3 linked regions of the Neodiprion lecontei genome follow. The protein of the gene in region 1 interacts with the protein of each later gene in a pairwise test. Links are inferred from orthologs where the notes say so. Each region holds a gene or a part of one and is shown in the gene's direction. Other genes may lie near its edges.

Region 1 (8,381 bases):
TTTTTTCTTCTTTTAACCAACTATTGTACGCGTCTCAAGATATTAGTTCACATTCATAATCACCGTATCTTTGTGAGGCAGTAAATCCTTCCTGATGCGAAAGAAATTCTTTCCAAACTGACGAAGACCCTTTACGAAACGTTTCTGAAATGGGGAACATTACATTATTTATTAAGTATCGACCTTCGATTATTCTGTTCTACGTAATCACCCCTCGACAATATACTCACAGTTTCTTCTTCGGACCACTTTTTGTCAATCCCTTTGGGTACGGGACATTTGACTAGTGCTTGAAGTGCCCTGCCAGGGTCGTAGCCAGAGTCATGTAAAATGTCCAGAGCGTTGATCGTAGTGTCGTCTCGCGAGGCAGCTACACAACCGTCATCGGGAGATCCGCCGTCACACATTCCTGCAAAGGCAGCCATAGATCGGGCAGCTCTTAAGTACATCAACAGATCTCCGTCCAAAGCCATGGCCGGGACCCATCGTAGTTCCTCACGTTCTTTGGAGAACTCAGGATCCGGATGAAGATCTCCAGGAGGGATGCCCGGCCTGTACTCAGGCAACCGGGCCTGGCAAGAAACCAACTCCTGTACCCAAAATTCAGGGTAGCGCGCGGTTAGCACCACTGCCAAAGCGAGTTAGTCATGCACACATGTATACCGGCTTGCTTATTCAAAGTGCTAAGCTGAATTTCATAAGGCATAAATAGCTCAACAGAATTCGGTGAAACTTTGCTAGGTTGAAGTTCCTTCTTATTCAGCCGATACAAGTTTACTTGCATTGTTCTATTGTTAGTGCGATGAGAAAGCGATTGTGTTGTTAAAAAAAAACTTTGTTATTGCCGCTGACTTATACTCAATTATTATCTTTTGTACATTCATTAGTTATTAGATGTTATGCGTGAATTATATTAATTATATTTGCAGGGTAGCTATGAAGCAGTGAGGTTTTTCCAAAGAATCGGGCAAACCTGGTGGGATGGACCGACCCGAATCTCGCCTTGGGTACCAGCAGACATCTCCCCCTCCTCCAAAGCTCCACCGTCTTTCTCCAGTGTTTTAACCACTGTCAGTCTCCAAGTCTCAGTAAAGTGCTACCTTCCACCCCTAGGAATTAGTCAGGCGTATAATACATTTGGCACAATATTTTTGTGTGTAATATTAAACAATATAAATCTGTAGGCGATCAGTTTTGCCATTTATTGATAACAGACGATATATAAAGAGAGATCAAACTATGTATGTCTTGAATTTGAAATCAAACATGACTGCCAACATGTATGGAAATGAAGAAGTTTCAACAACGGTGATATTCTGATTTGACAGGTTTTGAGTCAAATTCAACGCGTCGATGAAAAATCACATATTGATGATAAGACTTGATTTTCTTACAAGGAGTAAATTATATTTGTTACTTGAATAGTTAGAGAGACTCAAAAGTTATTCTGAGAATTCGGCTAAAGGGAGTAGAATTTTAACACTACACATGCTCGACTACTACATTGTCGTGAAAATTAAATAATGAAATGGAAAGTTAGTATCAGGTTGACGCAATTAAACCAAAGCAAAGTGTTGGTTAATTTTACATCATGGTTGACGAGAAATATATTTCGTATTTCTATCCCAATGCATTTTGAATAGCTTATTCCATATGTAATCTTAACAAGGGCTCTGAATAGCTATAAAACAGAGTGACTGATAATTTGATGACTTCTTTTAAGCCTGGAAGTAAATTCTATTCAGATAAAACAACAATGAATAACAAATCTGACAGTTGGTCTAATGAGAAAGGATTTTGCGAGATTTGAGACGGTTCATCAAAGGTTGCAAAGTGAGCAATTTCCAACTCATGTTCAGTAATTAACTCTGCAAGTAATTGAGAAAGGGTAACAACAAAGCTTTATGATTAAAGGTTTGCAATTTCTTCTATTGTTGTGCTGTAAATAGCAATATGTGAAAGGTATCTATGATATTTGCATAACAATTAGTAATTCGTAAAAGGGTATGAGGAGAATTTCTGGATCTACATACCTCTAGTAGCCATGCCAATGCGTCATTTGCGAGGATCAGCGGAGTGTCACGGATTCATTTAATTGCGCGACTATTAGACGCGTAGTATCAGCGAACAATGAAGGATTAGGAAACCCTCCTAAGGTAGATTTATCTCAATGGGTTATTGTGGAGAAAAAAACGGTAAACGTTGACCTAGGTGAGAGCAAAGATGGAATTTGTTCAACTGCGTTGTAAAATAATGATAGCAAAAATAGTAATAACAATCATGATGATGATGATGATGATGATGATGTTAATGATGATAATGATAATAATAATAAGAGAATATTAAGGGAATTCAAAAGGGAAAAGTGATGCATGTACCTATGACACCATATATCGCATGAGAAATTACGGATAACTTTAGCCGAAACTTAAATTGTCTTGGCGTTATCTAACCGAGCGTGATATGGGGGTATTTATTCGTTGTGTGATGTTTTTTTTTATTTCTTTTGTCTCTCTAATTCCATGCATTTTCAGTCAGTTAATCGATTGAATAGGGAATAAAATCGATGAAATATGCGTAAAAATAGATGTATGTATGTGGTAAGTATAGATATGTGTAGTAAAACTTGTGGGAGAGGAGGTAACGCTCGGCACTTACCACGCTCCCGACGCCTAGCATCCTTCCAACGTTACGTATAAACTTGCCCGCCCATTCGTTAATTTATGTGTCAGAGTGGCTACGTTAATGTTAACACAACTCCGGGCACATTATTGTTTACCAGTCGCGAATATCAGGCTTTTCGAATATCACACACTACCCATAACACCCAGGCGCGGCCATATTGTCTTCAATTTTTTTCTCTCCCACTTTTTTTCTGGTCTCTCCGCTCGTTCTTTTTTCTCGCTCTCTTGCTCCTACTCCCTTTCGTTCACTCGCTCTCGCTCTCTGTTTTATTTCATTTTGATACAGTCAATCAAGATGTCAATCCCCCATTGTCGTCGTCACGAAATATCAACCACCGATAGAAACGTAACTGCTGTTGCCAAATGGGTACAGCCAGCCCCCTGACACATGCTGCTAAAAGTGGTTCGCAAAATGTCCCTCCATTCTGCCGCCAATCTCCACCACTGGTAGCGCTAGTAGTTGTCTGAAAGGCTTGCGCGCGATCAGCGAGCGAGCGAGCGTGTCAAAAGTCTACTAGCGCCACATAGAGGAACTAAAAAAAGGGGGACAAAACGCGTACAATTTTTTAGTATACGAACAGTAGTGAGTGTCAGGGGGCTGGGTACAGCTGGTTCAAACAAGGGTTTTCCTACGTAGAATTGTTAGCTCGCGATTCGGGTGAATGTGTTAATGAAACAAGATATAACTTAAAGAAATAAATAATATGTACAAACAACGAGGACGAAAATATTGCCACTCAATCGCACTCAATCGATAAGTTTTCGAAATTCCGTGAGGTACTTTGATTCGTCTAACTATATTTTCACCACCGTATCGCTGGTCTGTGTCGTTACTCGTTAGTATTGGCGACGTTGTCGATGATTGAATTTCGGAAACCATTCTAGTTCATGGTTTTTCCGTGTTGGCGCGAGCTGGCGCGAGCCTCTATATTCTACAAAAATGGCGTCGCGTCAGATAGCCAAGAAACTCGGGATGGTGCAGAGGAATTATATCGCTGGCTAGTGATGTTTGGTAATCAAAATCGTTGTTTACTACGACTATAAAAATGAATCGTTACACAAACCTAACAAGCAGCAGTGTGGTGATAGATATCAGTGATTTCGCGCTGAATTAGATATGTTTGTGTCGAACATAAGTCGTGCTACCTTTCAGTGATCGGATGAAGAAGTGTAGGTAATTGTGGGTGGGCAGGCTGGTGAGATCTTTTCAGGATTAAAATATCGGAGAAGACCAAGCTATACACACGTACCTTCGATGGAGTTGAGGGTAGCGCTGATCTCGCTCGCTTTGTTGACGTTCGTCGGCCAAGGTAATTCAATCGCTGAATCAAATTTAATTTATGTTCGACGTACATTTATTCCATTACAGCGTTGCGTTCGAATTTCATACAAAATTCGCGCTAATTAAGTTGATTCGCTAATCATCAATCAAATCGCTCCCCACTTCGCCTGTTTTCTTCAATTTTTTCGTCGATTGAGAATATTACAATCGCAAATAAAACTTCTGGTTATTCCTAACGTAATATAGAATCTCAAGATTTTATTATCGTATTCTGTAATAATGATTTGTAATATGATTGAAAAAGGCAGCAAATAGAACGTACAAATATCAGTTTACATACGGAAGTTGTAATACATAGTATCTACGCATCATACATACGGTTTCGCATGTACAACTTGCGTGTCGATTTTCGCAACGCGAATTTTCTCCTGGGTTTAATCATCTAGTGAAAATATACCTGATGATACAACGCGTATGAATTGATTGTATTTTCTGCTCAAAGATCGGTCGGAGAGAGAATCTTCTAATTATCAATATATTTATTTTTTTTCAAACAATTTTTTTCTCAAAAACTTGTAAAGCGTTCCTGCTGCGCGCGCACGCGTATGCGTGTGTGTGTACTCCTCTTGTTTGACATAACAGCTGCCTCAAATTTACGCACGGTATCTACATGTATAGGCATGAATTTCCATACATGCAATCTTGTTTGCCCGGGTAAATATTTACCCTGAGACTACACGGAGCACGGAGTGGAAAAGAGACATATACAGGTGTAATAAGCCTCGAGAGAATCTTGGAAAATATCTTCTAAACGCCTCTCTGCCAGTCGACTCTTTTTCCCCTGACATACCTGCAAACGTTTTCCATTATTATGGCATCTAATATCCACTGTTGAAAATGTACAATTGAAACGCGGAAGCTTCGAGTCGTTATCATCATACTGTCTGTCCGCCAGCTAGAACCTGTTCAAATTTCGAATTAATGCAAATATCAGCAAATCACAAAGAGAGTATGTGAAGCAGATGAACCAGGATGACCAGGATGATCGCTTCCGCGCATATTCGTGAAACAGAAGAAGGGAGTCGGTGGGTCGTTCGGGGGTATAGCAGTATAAAATGCACGTATAAATAGGGCCGTGAGTGTGCGGGAGAGAAAGAGAGAGAAAGTTATCAAGTTGCGTATAGGCCAGGGAGGAGGAGGATGGCGGAAGATCTCGTGCAGGGTTGCCAATCGCCCGGCACTCTTTTCTTCTCTTCGTTGCACCCTCGTGAAGTACGTTGGGATTGGCTAGTAGCTATATTGTAATTTTGATCCCCCCAGAGTTCAATTCCATTCGAGGCTACAAACTATCGTCGTCGGCGTCGTCGTTGTGTCTCCATTGTGCACCAATAGAGAAATAATTGCCTCGCTTTAATAAGAAGACTTGTCCCGTCGCGTCGAGTCGGGTGGAAAGGGAGAGATGAACTACGGCAACAATCCGACTCTCTCTCTCTTCATACTGACGCTATAGGAACACTATCATAACGAGTCATGCTGAGGAAAATGAGTTATTTCGCGATTTAGGAATTGTCCGAAATTCAGTAAACCGTTACAGAAAGACACACACTCATATTTCGACATCTTAGTTCCTTAAAAATCATTGTAAAATTAAGAAAAGAGTGATTTTTTTCCCAATTTTTCGTAACGCTGACGTTACTAACTTTAACCTCGTACTCTCTCGAATTGTTCTATCGTCGTAGATGGTGACAAATTGTTATATACAATATTATTCTAACGATACGTGAGAAACAGGAGAAATTTACCGAAGAATCCTCATCGCGATGGAACGTTTGATACGAATTTATGATTTTAAGTGTATTGTATAAAGTTATGAGGCGGTGCGCGGTTTTTCTCCATTTCTTCTGAGAATCATGGTCGTCGCCAGCGAGCTCGTCTTTTTCTTTTTTTTTTTATTATGCCCCTTCTAGTTTTACATCGCACGAGATACCGGTTGTTCATGCTGTTGTTCTGGCTGTGTATTAGTAAAACCCTCATTCTCACAAAACAACAACAACAACGCAACGCGCCAGGTGTACGAAAACACTCGAGAGATGTTCGAGCGTAGGTATAATAATTAGGTGTATGTACAGCAGCGGTGAAGGTTTTAAATTTCATCCTTGATGTCCGCTTTCTTGGTTGTCGGAGAAGAGGAAGAACAAGAAGGAAGAAAGGCGATCTAGTTACTGCGGGATTGACAATTTAATTACACGTAGCGTCTATATTACCCGAATGTAACGCTGATCCGACGGGCGGAGGATCGAAGGAATTACGATTTTTCTAATTATTCACACGGTTAATAAACTGTTAACGCGCGTTGCTCTGCGTTTTAATCCTTTGACTCACCCATTGTTGTTCCGAAACAACTTTTATAACAATATATTATTTTTCAAGTTCTCAGGGTGACTGATTACAAATCTGAGATCAGTTTTGGAAAATTGAAGACGGCTGATCCAGTACGGTCAAGAAAATCATCCAAATCTGGATCCAATATGACAGATAAAATTTAAAATGTCATCGGATATTGACGAAAAACTGTATGAATGGGTTTTCGGGGTTACTGTTTACGAATCTGAGATCAGATCTTGAAAATTTAAGGTGACGGATCCAGCATGTAGAACACAAGTTTGGAAAATTAATTAAATTTCGATAGAAATCTAAGTAAAGGAGTTGGGTCGCTTATAACGAGAATTCGAAGTCTAATTATGAAAATTGAAATAGCGGATCCTAATAGTTGCCATGAAATCTCAAAATTTATCCACTCCATGACCTGAATTTAACAAATTCGGTCTACCGTATTGGATACGCCGTTGTGAATTTTCGAAATCTTCTTGCTTAGATTCATAATCAGCGACCTCAAAAACCCGTTTAACATATTTTAGTCCGGGTTCGTTCGAATTTGAACTTTTAGTCCGCCATATTGGATGCGCCATCTTAAGTTTCGACAATTTAACCTGAGATTCACAACCAGAGACCCAAAAACCTCTACATGCAATTTATTGTCTTGATTTGATGAAATTTGAAATACTCTTCCGACATTTTGGATCCGCCACGTTGAATATTCAAAATCTGTCTTCAGATTATGATTCAGTGACCTCAAAATCACATAATCTATATGCTTTCAAGGAAAATTTTCTTGCAAATGAATTATTTCTGCAATTTTCACGTTTTTTCAATCAATTTGGTTATAACAATAATAAAATACGATACATCGGAATAATTACTCTTGAGTCTTTAAGACATATTAGAATAGTCTCAGAAATAGCAAAAGACCGCATGAAGTCGTTGAAGAGTTTGCTAAATATTTAAAAAATGGATACGAAATAGGTGGTAAAAATACCTAGCACTATGAACTCAAAGGGTTAATTAAACACCGCACACGGAATTACATTATGTCGTCTATGGTATAGGTCGGGAATATTACATATTTGCATGTATATGTTACGCAAATATAGACATACAATGAACGTGTAGGAGAGAATAGGAATTTAGTAAAAGTATAAAAACTCCTCGTCGTCGTCTTGCTACTCGTGGTTTACAGACCGTAACGCTAAGATCGTTGCTGCTTGCACTAGAATATCTAAGAAAGGTGGCTTTTGCACGTTGTACAGGAATCTGTAACCTCCGCTACAAGCTAGAAGCAAGTGAGAGGACAGATTTTCTGATCTAAATTGCATCTGTCGATTTCTGCATATTGATTCTACACGAGTATACATAGTTGTATTTATATTATACATGTATTGTGTACTATATGCCGAATTTACTTCGGAAGAATGCAACACGTGTACATATATTGTATACTGTATACATAATGTGTAGGATGCGACAGCCTGCGCCTACGTATTTTCAAACAACAGTTGTCGATGAGTTATTCGACTAGTAAGTCAAGGAAGAAAAAACTAGGACATGGCAAAAATGCAAATGTACTCGCCGAGAAAATTATCCCCCCCCCCATTTTTGGTTGTGAAAAACTCCAGCTTGAAATTACTGTAATTGCGTAATTTAGTCTTTATGCATTTTTTCTTGAGTAATCCTATCTTGTAAATTTAGTAAAGTGACCCTTCGACTTGGCCTCAAGATATTTATTTTGTCGCATGGAGTTTTCCCTCGAAAATGGTTCTTTTAAAACTATGCGTGTGACTTTTTCTCGTAAAGAAATCTAATGTCAAAAGAAATAGCGTCCGAAATACTTTGATTCTACATATCAAGTGAAAAAACTATTGTACAGAAATTTAAAAGAAACGAGATAGAACCGCTAAATGCCGCCCTTCTGAATCTCGATCAAAAATTATCCTCAACGTCACTCGCAAACTTGACAACTTTACAAAGATGACCTTTAAAATTTGGTTATCAAAAATTAAACTTTACCGCGACACAGT
Region 2 (8,004 bases), on another chromosome or scaffold:
GTAATCGTACGAAAGTTTTGCACCCTCGACGCAGAGCTTGGCCTGTTTGAAATCAAGGTATGGTGAATTGTCTTGCATTGTAAAACAACGTTTTGTAATTTAATTCCCGCCTTTCTTGCCCTCTGATTACCGCGTACCTTCAAACTTCCCGGGGCGTAATATATACCGGCATGCACCACTCCACTGTTATGTCCGGTTTGGTGCATCGCCAGGTCCTTCTCTTTCTCGACAATCGCTATTTTCATTCCTGGATGTCTTGTCAGCATTTCTCTTCCAGTTGCGCATCCCACTATACCTCCGCCCACGATCACCAAATCGAATGTGTCAGGATGCTCCAGGCTACAATTCAAATCATTCGGTTTGTTATTCTAATTTAGAATGCGCGAACGTGGCTAGACAATATCTATTGCTACCAAGTATCGATTTGATGTTTTCTTATTATACTAACATGAGGATGTGATAATTATCCCAAATGGAAAACAGGAATGTTGTAATATATAGACAAATTCATAATCTTGATTAATGGTCAGAATGAAACTTGACGAGCCATCTATTGGCCAGCGATAGTTTTGTGTAGCGAGACGAGCTCGCGCGGGACCGTACGCGCTAGGACACAATCTAGCTCTCTCTACTCCTGGACTCCTTGTTAATAGGACATGCCGCACTGGCATTATGTAAATAGACATTATACTCTAATAAACTACTTTAATATTAATTGCATAAAACCACACTCCCTCTTTTATATCCACAAGGAAAAAAGACTGGGAAAAATACGGTTATTATCAAATTGAAACCGCATCGCTGTTTGACGGGTTGACGAACGTTTCAATTCTTTTCAATTTCAAACCGAATTCGAACGAATTCGAAATTATATCAATCATCCACTGCCTGTCGACTGCGTAAATCTATTTGTGGAAGAGTAAATATTCACTGTAATATCTTACAGAATTGAATACCAACCTGGTTCCGCTAGTTGAGTATAATTTAGCCAATTGCCGGGCAGGTTTTCGAGCCGACAAACGTATCAGGAAGCTTGCAGACATTTTGATCGTGGGATTTAATTTTTGCGCGCGAATAACCAATTAAATGTTACGAAAGCGAGGAAATTTCCCAGGGTATGTGGGTTCAATCAGCAGTGTCGAAATACTACACTGGGATCATTTGGCATATGCGTGACCGATCCACGTTGACGAGGAAATATTTTGTTCTTATCGATTTTTATATACAATCCAGCGTTTACAGATAAGAATTTCATGCGTATTGACACATCCAATGACTTTTCCTCAAGCGGTGTAAGATTAGCCTTTCATTGTCGCTTCAAGCTTCGTGGATTTTCGATATCTTTGACGAAACTGTCCGTTCCCAAGTCCAAACCCCAGGATTCAATTTTTACTACAGAAACAATAACATGTAAATTAAATAGTAACTGAAATTCCAAATTCGATTTTGACTCGAGGAATTGTCACTCCGATTTCGATTAGTACAAGGCGCGTTTGTACAGGTAGCGAACGTCTATCTAACGAATAAGTGGTTTTCAGAATGATACGCGAAGGTCAAGAACAACGTTATGCAATTAGCGCGATGGTCAAGGACGTACAACGGATGCGTTTGCTGCAAAAATTACACGCAGCCTTTCGTTGTCACGTCAAATCGTACTGAGCTCTACGTTTCGACACAGAAACGCCTGCCAGACACTTTTGCGTCAGACTGTCTTATCGACACTACTGACTGGTGCGTAGTAGAGATTCTGATCATCGGATCCCCCCCTCGTTAACTGGTTTAAAATATCTGATGTGTAAAATAATTTGGCAAATCGTCACCGGTGTTCATTAATGACGTCATGATGACGTCGTGTCGACGTATGCGAGGCTCTTGCTGCGACGGCGCTTGCCATCTCGATTACTAACATCGGCAAGTGGCGCCACCGTTCTTCCAACGTCACGACGGTGAAGCTGTTCGAACGAGACGCGTTCGCGAGTGTTCTTTACTATCGCGAATTTGCAAAATATCGTCACTGCCTATTACGCAAGGAAATACGCTTGTTCTAGTTAGAATATAGACGCAGGATTAATGAACTCCAATTGCAAAACTCTCGAGTGAATAATTGAGGCGGTTTAATCTGCCAATGTTCAAATCACTACTTCGATTCGAACGTAATTGAAATTCAAATTTAGGGCCCCTTATCCGCTGAACTTTACGTTTTGCCATACCTATTTGCTACTTATAGTTAAGCACTCCTGAAATCACTTTTAGGTTTCAATTTTAATCCCCGTACTCTTTCGATAATATAGACTCATACGGTTAAATACGTTTGCAATCGATAAGGTCTAGCAGAGGAAATCACAAACCGACGGACGGTTCACGGGCTATCAAAACTTCGATGCTTTTTTTGGATTGTTAACCGAAGCATACGCGATTACTGTAGAATTATGTTTGTCGGAGACTTGCATGCTTGATCGGGCCCCGACAATGACAAGACTCGACGCTTCCAGAGGTCCATCATGCAACTGGCCCTTTTCATCCCCTCCCTTGTCCTTGGAAGCAGATCTCCACTCTCCGTCCGATGCAACTCGACGTTCGACTTTCGATGGAACGAAGTTTATACCCATATACCTGGGTGGGTATGTTGTTTAAAAAACGACAACAAAGAACGGTGCCGGAGAATGGTTCAGGGCTACAAGAGTTGTACCGAGGAGAAGAAAAAGAACGACGCTACGGCAGATTAGGTGCGATGATACAAGATCGTAAAATATGAACTACCTGGTGCAGTACAGTGTATAATAGGAAAGTTGACATGCTGTCCTATTTTATAACAGTGTAGAATTTTCAGCGCTTCTTATCTTCGTCGTTGTTCAATTTTTATTCTACTTAAGCTTTAAAATAATTTTCAACCCAGGTAGATACGTCTTTCATTCCGGTACTGTCTGCAGCGCTATTATACCAACGTATTTCTCAACTGTGTATTTTTCCTCGCTGGATAATCCCAAGCAAACATGAGGGGCTGCTTATCTTACGGTTTTACCAATGGATCGATAGTGGTTTGAAGTAACACACACCGCTGAATGATCGATATTCCACTTCATTACAAAAAATGGATCGAAGTAACTGTGTTCAATCGATAGACAGGTAATCAGGCTGATGCAAATAGTATCACTGAAAATTCAATTGGACACCTGCAATGGTGTAGCAATTTTTTTTTTGCAACATATCTCCACAGGTGTAGCGACAGTAAAAGTGTCTCCTTATCGCTTGAAAGAGAACACCTATATCGGTACATGGTGCAGGAAATCGTGCTGGCGAGTCAACAACTCATATGTAATGTATATAGTTATATATTCTTTATTTGTACGTTGATTATATTATCTGGTAGTTTCCAGAGTTTATACTTTTAACTGCATTCACCTCTGATCGTAAATCCGTGAAGAATTCAGTTTTGCTTATTTCTCCAAAGACTCTTTCATCTTTCAGCGTAGCTAAAACGTTTGAAAAATTCGTTGATATCCCCGATTACAACCACTCCCTTAACACCCTTAAAACGCTTAGAAAAATATAGAGTCCAAGAAATGGTTAATTCTATGCTTCATAATCGTCTCGACTGTACGTTTGTTTCCACATAGCTGTGACCTGGAGCACAGCAAATGATCTCTGAATGGTATAAGTCTATGGAACTGGCAGACCCGTGTTTACAAGCTATTTTCGTAGATACACCGAGCGAACGGTCGTTTTTGAGTTCAAGTAAGCCGATTTGTCAATACTCTCGACTTTCGACCGTAGAATACCTATTACCATAACAAAAATAATCTCAAGGGCGTGAAGTTGCCCGGTTTTCAGACAACAGACAAAAGGAAGATTCGTCACGTCATCGACGGCGCCCCAAACGAACGTTCACAAGTAGATAAACCCCCTTTCTACGGTCCTGAGAGGAATCCGTGCGTGGACCGTCTGCGCAGCAGCGTTCAGTCCGAGAACCGGGAGTCAGTCAACCCAGTGGCAGCCTGCCGTTCGGGCCAGCTTGACGTCTCTCCTGGATGCATAGCTGTACGTCGGGTCGACATTGGTTCCGAGGAGTGCAAGTGCGGTTTCAATTGAACGAGGAAACGGGACCGGGGTGAAGTTCGCGCCGGAAAGTCTACAAGTAACACAAGAGTGCTATATATTATTTAAAATTGTAATAAAAAAAAAAACCGAATCGCAGCTCGTTATTGTACTAACGAGAAGTTTTTTAGTTCAGTGCCTCCACGGGGAGATGATATTGTGATAAGGTGTCGTGCGATGCGCCGATTCGTGAGGTGAACCGATCCTCAAACACCGATCGGCGCCGAGCCGAGGACTTGAGACCTTGTGGTTCCGACGCTCGGCATGGAGGACGAGCTGCGATGCCCCTCGTGCAAGGAGCTCTTCTCCGAGCCTGTGTTGCTGCCCTGCTGGCACGCGCTTTGCCTCTCTTGTGCCGTGGGCCTTCAGGCCCCCCCCGATTCACAGCCGGAATGTTGCGCCCCCGATCCGGCGGGAAACGGGCCCGACCAGGAGGCCGATAAGCTATCGATACTGTCGGAAACCGACTCGGGGGTCGTTTGCAGCAGTACCTCGACCTCCTCGCGACCCGGAAGCTACGTCGGCACACCGGGGAACGGAGGGTTTCCACCCTCCGGGGGCACCCTCTGTCTTGCATGTCCTGTTTGCCAGAAGATGGTCTACTTTGACGAGGGTGGTGCGCACAATTTACCCAAGTACAGGGCCATGCAGCACATCGTTGACAAGTACCAAGAGGCCCGGAACGTCAGGCTTCAATGTCAGATGTGCGAGGCGGACCCTCGGGAGGCAACCGTCGCCTGCGAACAGTGCGAGGTGAGCCAATTCGACGTTCACATCACGCCACTAGAGTTTCTTTTCATTCAATCGGATTAACGTTTCATTACGATCACTCTTTGGGATTGTACGAGATACGGTAGAACATAATCAAGGAAAACATGCCCAAATTTTACAAGGCTGAAGTTACTGCCATTAATGTGACGAAACTTTGTAACAAAAATTATTATTTTGCACCTTTCGAACACCTGAAAAACTTGAATTCACAGAATCTGAGTTTGATGATATCCTGTAATAACAGTTTACGAAATTTAAAGTAATCCTAAAGTTGTAAAATAACGACTTTTTCCAAAGATGTATCGTTACATTACCGTTACAAATTTCAGCCTGATCAAATTTTGCAGTCATTCTAAAGTTGGAAAATAGACATTTTTTTTTTGTCGTGCTTGGCTATCATAACTTTACTAACTTCGATCTCGTGATTTGTTCAATTTTTTTTCCCTAGTTTAGTATAGTACGTCTTTAACGGAATTGAGGTATAATCAACTAACAGACTGTGTCTGTGACTGTGTGTCTTTTGGGGGGTATTTGGTTATTTCAAATTCGGAGTAAATATTTCTGAATTCTGTGTTCAAATTTTAACACAATTCATCACAAATTCGGATGACGTTGAAGTTAGTAACGTTATTGCAATGATTTACGTTTCGAAAAATCCGTTATTTCGTAATTTTAGGAGTCTCTGAAATGCAGTAAATTATAATAAGGCAAATCGGTAATTCATATTTTCAACACTTAGCCATTTCAAAGTCACTACAAAATTGCAAAATAGTAATTTTTTTCCCCAATGTTTCGTTACTTACGCTAACGTTACTAACTTCATGGTCATGAATTCGAAAACTTGTAAGACCGTTTTCGTAGTGGGCATAAAAATCGTAGGACGGGATTATTCAGTGTTCTAAAATCCGGATTAGGTTCGGAGTGGTTCAATATTCGAATTTTAACGGAAGTCGTGCGATTAAAACAATTTCGAAAACTTAAAAACCCCATAAAGTGTAGGAAAACATCGAATCATCGTACGTTTCAACATTAGAATTCGATTCTGGGTTGCCAGATTTGATTGAGAATATCGGATCTTAATGGAGTTTAGGGTGACCTGGAAAACTTGGAAAATCTGAGAATCCCACAGGGAAATTTTGTGGCAGAAAGGATCTCGAAGTTTGGCACTCGGAACGTTCTCGTTCGATTTAAAATTCACGAGTTCAACAATCGAATCTTTTAATGGAATGTATCCAATCTTAATAGCGTCTTAAAATGCAGAAACCGTTTAAATTGCACAGGATCTCTTGAGTAGCAGGAATCGAGTCACCCAATTTTTTCACCGTTGTTTAGCCGATCAGAGTCAGTCATCGACAAATCTACAAGTACAAAATTTGCTAAAAATCTGTGCAAATACGAAAGTGCGCAAACTTCCCGGGCTCTTTGATGTCCGAGAGATGAACCGAGGGTTTTACTTCAATTTCGGTGAAAATCCAGTCCCACGTAGCAGTATTTGCTTGAAACCGTATTTTGCAAAAAACGCGTCTGCAGATGACAAAGTCCCACGAGTCCTTTTACGGGGTTCGAATAAAGGTTCTTCACGATCATCGACGTGATTCAAGCAATGAAATTGAACCACCAGCATCGCGTTCCCCAGCCTTGATAGGACAGCTGTGTTGATCCGAGTTTAATTACAGTTGTTCGACAGTTTACAGGATTATATATTTGTCAAGAGAACTGTTTAACCGACTATTTCCGTTTCTGTCCGTCCCTCGAACTTCCGAAAGGGAAACCTCCGCGATAAATTCTTTGCTCCTCTCTCCCGCTTCTTCTACCTTGTTAGATGCTATTTCCTCTTTGGAGGTGTGTGCCAAAAAGTCTCTTCACTTCACTCGCCCACCTTAACCCAGTTCTCCGCAGAATGTTGTTACCCTTACTCTCATCTCACCTCCGTTCAGCGGTGAGATTAGTTTAATTGTAGACCGCCTGAAATAAAGCCCCACCTAGTGTCAGAAGAAATAAAATATTGGTATATACATAAAAAAAAAAAAACACTTTCAACTCTGGGATTAGATTAGATACACAGGTACACGTGTATTGCTCTGTAGAGATTTTTCTATCGTCATGTATTCTGCATAATGTTATTTGTGTTTTTCAAAGAGAGAACTGGCCGTATGACATTTCCGCTGTTGTTGATCTCTCCGGGATGACGTAAAAAAACGGCGAAGTATATTCATCATCCATAATCTCTCCACGTTTTGACGTATATCGTGTGATGAGATTAAAAAACGGGGGGTTTCGAACGAAGGGCTTACCTCAGGATCCCTCGCGTCATTAGTTACCCTGTCATTCAATTCTATATCAAATATAATGGCTCAACTTGGCTCATTTGAGATCCCTCCAGGTAGGATTATCGTTGTTCTTGTTGTTGTTCTTGTTAGGTATCATTGTTTCCGAATTAACTCCGTTGAATTACATACGCAACACAGGCACATTGAGAAACTCAAACTCACTCTGGTCTTATCAAAGGTCGTACCCTAATTGAGAGAAACCTTTCTTGACGAGTCGCAAAAAACAACTGACTGAATTTTCTAACTGGAATTCGAGCATTTACAAACAAGTCAAGTTTCGTCGATGATGAATCTCTCCGCATGTATCTGTACAGTAACCGAATTCGATTTTGTTTATCTTCCTTTTCTCATTTCTCTTTTCTTTTCATATACTTCCGTTATACGCTGACAGATATTTGAATTACTCTAAATTGTATATCCCAAACACATATACATCCTAACCAATAAATTCAGAATTTTTTTAATCAATTGACTATAAGCTCTCGTGAAACGTAAAAGAACAATAAAAATTCAGCGATGGATTTTGTGGTCACATTTAGTCATTTTCAACGACGTATAACACGTAGATAAATTAATTTTTACTTTCCTTTTTACGGCTCATTTCGGTCACTTTCATTTATCAAATCTGGCTACATTCCGTATGACATAATAACACCTCAAAGGGTGTTTGTGTCCACTTGATTAGCCGCTTACTAATACGCCTGGAATCTATATCCGATTATCACCAACTGTCTCTATTCAAGCATAAATAATCAATGAATCCATTCGAGCATCTGATTACATAGCAGCTAAATCGGTTAATCGACCC
Region 3 (8,059 bases), on another chromosome or scaffold:
GTTAAAAGTATAGCCAATTTTTTGGCGTAATAGGGTATGAGCGTAGGGTTGCATTTGGGTAGGCATTTTTTTTTTTAGTAAGACAATAAAGTTGGTGCTATATGTATAAAACTGTGTATACACAAGTACCTGATTGGTGAATGTATGCAGCAGGATTAGATATGAGCTTTGTTGGAGATGAATGGGAAATATTAGTACGGTACGGATAAACAAAGGAGGGATTTCCATAAAATTCTAACTCTTGACAAAAATCTGTTTGTGTAATTTGAATTACATATCGTGCAGGTATAAATAATATGGAAATTCTTATATTTTTCGATAAATAAGAATCGTGTATGCTTATGAACGAACTCTTTCGAGAATTATAATATACGAAGGCATAAACATTTTGAACCAAAATCAAAGTGATAGTCATCCAATGATGTATCGCAATAAAGCAGATATAATGTATTAGATATGATATATACGATACAAAATAAGAAGCAAAGAAAATATTGTATTTTGATTCCGTAGAGTATTTTACTAATCAATATGTTCTTATTGAAAGTTGAAAATCATTATTGACACTCCTTCGATCCAACACGTAGTACAACCATTTAAAAAAAGAACAGAGAATGAAAAACGAAATTACTTAACTATTGTTATTCACGTAACACAAATAATTGAGAAATGGTAATAAATTCTCCTAGATGATTGTGATAGAAAACCGTGTTGCTCTAAACTAACGGTACTTATTATTGTTAACTATCTAATAAATTAGATTTCATTAGGTATACGGCTTTACATCTACAGTATATCATTGAGACATGTTATTATAGCCACACCACAGATATTACCTATATTGAGAGATTATTACAATCATCCTTGTTATTAAATAGTGAAAACGTTATTGTAAATAATCAAGTTAAAAATACAGTATTAAAAGTAATAATTAGTAATAGGCTCGTAGCAGCTGGATTATGCCTTAAGTTTAGAGAATAAAGAAAATATTTAAAATACGTCAGTCATTCACCTTCATCTTAGAATTGAAAAGAAAAAAAAATATCTGTACATAATACATAAACATGCATCAAGTTCAATAATACCCTTCATAATATTTGTTTTGAGTTGTGTGTTTAGTCTTCCGGTAGACACATAGAGGTATATATTTATGTCAATCACTGTAATTGGTCAAGTTGTTCATTCTACCTGCAGAAGAAATATAATACAATATATTTCGAATGGCTTCTCCAAGAGGAATTTTTGAGATCGGAAGGCTGGCACCACGGTCGCCTCAAATTGTTCAAAATATAAGGTGTGTTATTATTAATACTTGGTCGCTAAAACTGCAAATGTAATACATATGTATTTACAATGTTCAAAGATTTACAAGTAGTCCAAAATCACCTCTCCGGAACAATTTGAGCACAGACTGTGTGGAAGCGAAAATAAATACAAAACCATGTACATTGTCGCTAGTCAATGTCGATACTCCAAACCGAAAGAAAATTTTAAATACTGGACTTACCCACTGTACAAGAAAGATTCTCGGCAGTGGTGGATTTGGAACCGTGATTCAAGCATCTTACAAAGGTTTGAAGAATATTGTGAAATGCGGTCACTTGATGAAAGGGAGCCGATATTTTTTTCCTATCCTGATTTTATCATATCATATATAACAGGTGATCAGGTGGCTGCGAAAATACTTAGAAGAAGGAAAGACAGTGATAACTCCGTGATATCAGAGAAACATGCCACCACTTTGAGACATGCTAATGTCATCAGGATACTGGGCATTGAACAGGGAGAAGTTTTCTCAATGATTACTATGGAATTGTGTGGTAAATCTCTGCAAGAAAGACTGGATGAGGGACCATTGAACTGTCAAGAGCGATTAAATATCTTCAAGGCAATTACTTTCGCTATTCAATTCTGTCACCGAGCTGGCGTGGTTCATGCCGATGTGAAGCCAAAAAATATTCTCATGGCCGCAGATGGCAACCCAAAATTAGCAGATTTTGGTAGCTCCGTTCTTTTGGGGGAAGAAGACACATATACAGGAATTCGAGTAGGTTTTTTAGTTTTGCATCACGATTTCATTCCCTAAATCACCAGGTTTATGCCATATTTTCAGGGTACACCTGGTTATGTAGCCCCAGAAGTAATCAGAGGGGAATTACCCTCTCCACCTTCAGACATATATTCCCTGGGAATTTTGGCCTGGCAAATGCTAAGCAGGACTTTGCCATTCGCTGACCTCCATCCTCACGCTATTTTGTATCTCACTGGGAAAGGTATAAAACCGGAGGATTCAATGCTGGATGATAATTTAGGTGGCAAGTATAAAGCGTTGTATTCAAAGATGTGGTCATTTGAAAAAACAGATAGACCCAGTATAGATGGAGTTGCAACGGAGCTTCAAGATTTAGAGGTCGAAGCAAAGTGTTGAAGTTAATTAGAAATGGCAAAGGCTCAATGATGATACGGGATAAAAGGAAGACAATGCAGAAATGTTTACAAAAGAAAATCATTGTTATTTGAATAAATTTTTACAATCACATAGCAGTAAATGTCAAAAGTATTATACATGAAATCACAGGGGATGAGATTATGTTTCTGGCATATCACCTCCAGGTACTAACTGAAACAGGAAAGAAAAAATGATAGTCAAACTGTTGCAATAAACCTTGTTGTGCATTTTAAACACATCATGCTATCGAAATGTATTTGTATTTCCATATTAACCATCGTAATGTTATTTCCATTGAGGAGGATCTGATCCAATTTTGTAACTCTGCGTCCCTCGGGTGTTGCTTCGCTTTCAGTCACATCATCCAATAACATATTCACAAAGTCATCAAATCCTTGTAATGTACCCACAATTTCTTTATCATTTTTCATGATAATGTGAATGCGGGAGCCGATGCACTTGTCCACCAATTCTGTAAAGTAAAATTCAATGAAATAAAACATCAGTTAATAGAGAAAATTAAGATGATCGATAATGAGCAAGGTTGCAGAAAATACGAGAATGTAAAAGACACGTGGACTACCCCGAACTAATGGCATATATTTTAAAACGTATTTTAAAAATACACAAAAAATAAATAATAAACAACGTCGTTCTGTCGTTAGATCATAGAGGTTAGGAAAAATTTCGTTATTATTTTATTTATTTACCTAGCGGCAAAAGCGTGGATGGATTCGTAGTCACAGAGCTAGTCATTTTGGGAACAGAATAGTCTCGTCAATCGGTATTAATATACCCTCACTTTTTAACCAACTAACAATCAACTAATTAAGCGGGACGGCAATCCGGACGTCCTGTAAAATGACTACGCGTCGTTGGATTCGAAACACCGGTAGTTGCGCGCACATTGCCGTTGCCGTCGTGCTTATATCGCATGGAGGTGGCTTCCCAGTAAAAGGCAATTGCCGTACACTCTGTCTCTCTCGCTCTGCGCTGCGATTGGCCGAACGCGCATATCTCGTAATGCTCAGCCAATCAGAGTGTAGAGAAAGAGAGACAGAGTATACTGGCATTGCCCTTTGGCCGTTGCCCATTTGGCGCATATTATTCAGTGATGATTCGATGTCGACAGCAGCGCCGCCGCGACGGTCGACGGGAGAAGCAGAAGGTATCAGCGGCGAGGTTCAGCAGCAATGTAGAATTTGTAGCCGAACATGGCAGAAGTATAACTCTTTCGTTATTTGTGTGATTTTGTAAATGTGCCAATGTGCGAGCAATATGAGTTACGTTAAAAGTTATTTTCCAATTAGACATGACAATTGTATTAAGTTAGTGATTCAAAGTGATTTCCCGGAGTTAACTGTACCGAGGTAAGAGATATCACAATATTCATTTTAATTGTTGTGTCCGATGGGGTGGATTTGACAAGCTCTCTACTATCCGTAGATACATAGCTATTAATACATATATATCTACATGCAACTTCTAGTATCTAATTATAATATCGTTGTAATGAAACAACAACGGTTATGTATAATACGCACGTCGCTTTGTTAGATGTATCATCAAACAATGTCAAAGGGGACGTTTTGTTCACGCTGTATATACCTACTTCAGAGGCTGTCTACCCAGCTCCCTGACCACGCGATTTTTTTTTTCTTTTTCTCTCTTTCTCGCTAACGTACAGACTTCCCGATTGATTTGCCCCGTGAACACTCACCGAATGGACTTGGTATCTGGATACCTAGTCACTCTTCCATCCTAATTTACACATGGTATATTATCCGTTGAAAATGATGAAAAAATGATAACAAAAACACCCCGTCTTCTGTTATGATACCATCGAAATGTTCTATTCTATCACCTCATATTCCGGTTGCCGCACAATTTTCGCCTCTACAAATTTATTACGCACATATATACGTGCGTGTATGCATGCGTACGAACACGCCAAATACATATTCCATTTTGCATTCAACGTTCGTATTATTATTCTTATTCTATCTTCGGACCAAATTTGACTACTTGTCCTCGCAATTCGTCGCACGCTGCTCGCGAATTGCTAATTTAAATAATTCCATTCAACAGGTGTAAATTTCACGATTTATTTAATCGAATTTCAATCAATACTAATATTATTTATCTATCACACACCGCTCAACTACCCCAGCTCTTACCTCATAATCTCATTTAAACCATGAAAACTATTTTCCCAAATATTTCGCCAGTTACAAATTTTATTAATTTTCACCCATCTGGAAACGATTATTATTCTCATCTCGTTGTTCTTTGTGCCTCGTTTCCCTGTATGAGAATTACCTCTTGACTCGTGAAGAATGAAAAATTTCCTAGAATCTTTGTCCTGCTCAGAATAATCATAATAATAACAATAACAATCTTTTACCAGGGAACACGTTTCTCGTAGATATTAATTTTCAGAAATGATGTTGCCTCTTGCTGCATACTATATTTAACATATCAAGGCCATCTCAGGCATTTTTGACAAATGTTAAAGTACTTTCATTGTTGAATTCATTATTTGCTAGAATTGTTTGAACGTGGAAAATACAATCTGTATGTTCTTAAATATATATAAATAAAGTTAATGATTGTACCATAATTTTTCATTCAGTCTTATGTGAGTGAGTTACATTTAAAGGAAAAAATTTTCTGCATTAATCTTTATTCACTAGATGTTATTTCATTGTTATATTGTATATTGTACGTGTAACATTTCCGTACTTCTTTGTGTGAAACCATTGACTTATCAGCGATGTGATACTCAGTTCAAAGAACATCCAAGGCTTACTGCTAATGATCTATTTTAACACAGTCATATGTTAAAATACCAAGTATTTTGTTAGTCACTTTGATCGCTAATATTGAGTAAGTAGAAAAGTTTTTCATCAGAATTCTTCGCCCTTTCTGCAGTACTCTCTGACCGTTTCTGGTCAGGCTATCCAATTTTACTCAAGTTTATCTTATCAGCTTTTGTGGCAGTGAACTGTTTCAGCACCGAAAAGGACAGGAACGTGATTTTCTCTTATTTTAATTCATTCTTTTACTATTCTTTGATGTCGAATAAAATTGATGAATTTTCCTGATTTCAATGGATCTACTAAAAATACAGTCCGTTCTTTATCATTTGTCTCATTATGTCTCATTATGTCTCATCCTCTAATGTTACTTCCATTCCTTTCCCTGCATTGAACTTGTTATTCATCAGTTGATTTTCAGGTCGGATGCTCACTAGGGTACCGACGAAATGGATGGCACTCGAGCGGCAGAGGTACTTCCTCTGCTACAAGAACGACTAGCGATATTACCGGGTGGACGCGATCGCCGCGGCGGTCCCGTTCTCGTCTTTCCTACAACTCCGAGACGAGAACGTGCTAAACCAGAAGATTATCGTCGTCTTTTACAGTATCTTCTAGCCATTCCTAATGACGAAGCAAGGGGGCTTGGTTTCACCGTCGTCGTTGATATGCGTGGAGCTACCTGGGGCACAGTGAAACCAATTCTCAAGGTTTGTTTATAGAAAACTGAGACTTGAGCGTAATTGTGACAATGCAAATATTTGGCTGTACGACAATAAATTTTAATTGACACTTTCAGGTTTTACACGAACATTTTCCCGGATCAGTACATGTTGCCTTTATCATAAAGCCTGACAACTTTTGGCAGAAACAAAGGACCTCGTTGGGCAGCCACAAATACAAGTTTGAGGTAAATATTAGAATCAATAATAGGTAAGGGGTGAATAGCAGAGCTATATAGGAATTGTGCAAGGCCTCTGCTGCAGTAGCAGCAGGGTCTTGTGCCCTAGTTTGGCACAATGTCAGTTTTGTATGGAGCGTTCATTGAATTCACTGATGCAGCAAAATGTGAAGCCCTCCTCCCCATTGTACCGCAAACATTGGTGCCAAGAGTAAATACATTGCAGCATTATTGAACTTCACATTCACAATCTCACTTGCATTCACACGCATGTCTCGAGCACCGGATTACACTTTGGTAGAGGAGCTGACCTTTAAAAACCAATATGCAACTCGTTTGTCTATATCGCATGAATCCTCATGTAATTGCGTCAGCAGCATATCTTTCTTTCAATTACAGGTGGATATAAATAAACGATTGACAATTACTTTTAGCGATTGACGTGTTACTCATAATAACACATCGATTTTTCTTTTTTTCACTTTCAGACCAACATGATCAGCCTTGAAGCATTGAGCAAGGTGATAGAACCCTCTCAGCTCACTGCCGATTTAGATGGAACGTTTCAGTACGATCACGCTCAATGGATCGACACTCGGCTCGCTGTAGAGGATTTTACTTGGCAGGCCGCAGACCTGCTCGACAGATTGGACGATCTGCAAGAGGATCTGAGTCGCAATGACTTTGCCGATGATGTTGGAGGTGCTAAACATGGCATCGATCTTCACAATGAAATGAAGAAGAAAATCATGAAAGTACCTGTCGAAGAGGTTGAAGTAGTCGGACAACGTCTGCTTCAACGCTTCAACAGCGGTATGTAAAAATTACACTCTCAGTGTACACTGCTAAGTGGTGAAATTCACTCAAAAGTAGCAGTACAGTTTATTTAGATCCTTTGGTCAATTATTGGTGTCTAGGAATGAGCGGAACAGGCGGAGAAGGCGGCAGTATTGAGGCTGGAGCCACTGGTGGAGCAGATCCCGATGGCCGGGCCCTGGCTGCACTGGTTATCCAGCATTTGGATTCCGTTCACGCAGCGCAGCAACATCTTCTGCAACTTTGGCACATAAAGAAGATGAAATTAGACCAGTGCTTCCAACTTCGCTTGTTCGAGCAAGATTGCGAGAAAATGTTTGATTGGATATGCCACAACAGGGAAGAATTTCTCAAAAATTACGTGGAGATTGGTAGATCTTATCAAGCAGCTAAAACATTGCAAGAAAATCACAAGCACGATACTATGAGTTCGATGAACGTTTACGTTAATATTAATAGAATATTAACGATGGCTGGTAGACTTCTAGAAACTCAACATTACGCGGCTGGTCACGTTCGCGCCGTTGCTGGAAGACTGGACAGAGCTTGGAAAGAATTTGCGGCAGGACTCGACGAGCGTACCGCAGTTCTTGGTTTGAGCGTTGTCTTTCATCACAAGGCAGAGCAATACGTAGATAGCGTTGCCGGATGGAGTCAAGCATGCGATGCAACAAATTTACCCAGTGAAATTGCAGTTCTTGAATCTCACATCAGACAGCATCAAACTCTCTACGAAGCTATGTGTCAGGCTTACACCGAGGTGAGTTTAAAATTTTTCACTGCAATTCTGTAATTTACTACAGTGGTTTACAGAATTGTATGAAACTTATTCTTGTTTTGGGTAATATCATTAATTCGAATGATTATTTATGGTGAATGGCTGAAATGAAAACTATTAGTGAGGTAATTACTGAGCAACACATTATTGTTCCATAATTTTAATCTTATGATGCAATCATCAAAATTTAAAGGTTTTTATATTTTCATTGACATTGGCTTGCAAATAACTAGCTCACTGCTGTTTTATTGATCCTCTCTTTTGTATTCACCTATATTTTTATAACCATTGCTTGTACA

The links.
Region 2: the proteins of neogenin (region 1) and E3 ubiquitin-protein ligase TRIM9 interact in a two-hybrid assay, tested with the Caenorhabditis elegans proteins (2 studies listed by BioGRID). The link is inferred for Neodiprion lecontei from reciprocal best matches to the Caenorhabditis elegans genes unc-40 and madd-2.
Region 3: the proteins of neogenin (region 1) and kalirin interact in a two-hybrid assay, tested with the Caenorhabditis elegans proteins (2 studies listed by BioGRID). The link is inferred for Neodiprion lecontei from reciprocal best matches to the Caenorhabditis elegans genes unc-40 and unc-73.

What each region holds. Positions count from the first base shown.
Region 1 is NC_060263.1:14,817,913-14,826,293, forward strand, and holds the start of neogenin, read left to right. Parts: upstream 1-3,633; 5' UTR 3,634-3,939; coding exon 3,940-3,994; intron 3,995-8,381. Other genes in the region: arginine-glutamic acid dipeptide repeats protein, read right to left, coding at 64-144, 231-590, 974-1,021.
Region 2 is NC_060262.1:40,957,382-40,965,385, reverse strand, and holds the start of E3 ubiquitin-protein ligase TRIM9, read left to right. Parts: upstream 1-3,820; 5' UTR 3,821-4,359; coding exon 4,360-4,848; intron 4,849-8,004. Other genes in the region: L-2-hydroxyglutarate dehydrogenase, mitochondrial, read right to left, coding at 1-42, 138-339, 961-1,043.
Region 3 is NC_060261.1:5,611,061-5,619,119, reverse strand, and holds the start of kalirin, read left to right. Parts: upstream 1-3,609; 5' UTR 3,610-3,819; intron 3,820-3,993; coding exon of another isoform or gene 3,994-4,015; exon of another isoform or gene 4,016-4,159; intron 4,160-5,686; 5' UTR 5,687-5,714; coding exon 5,715-5,975; intron 5,976-6,064; coding exon 6,065-6,175; intron 6,176-6,654; coding exon 6,655-6,979; intron 6,980-7,083; coding exon 7,084-7,742; intron 7,743-8,059. Other genes in the region: serine/threonine-protein kinase mos, read left to right, coding at 1,221-1,294, 1,364-1,572, 1,662-2,047, 2,114-2,428; U6 snRNA-associated Sm-like protein LSm5, read right to left, coding at 2,588-2,620, 2,725-2,921, 3,160-3,205.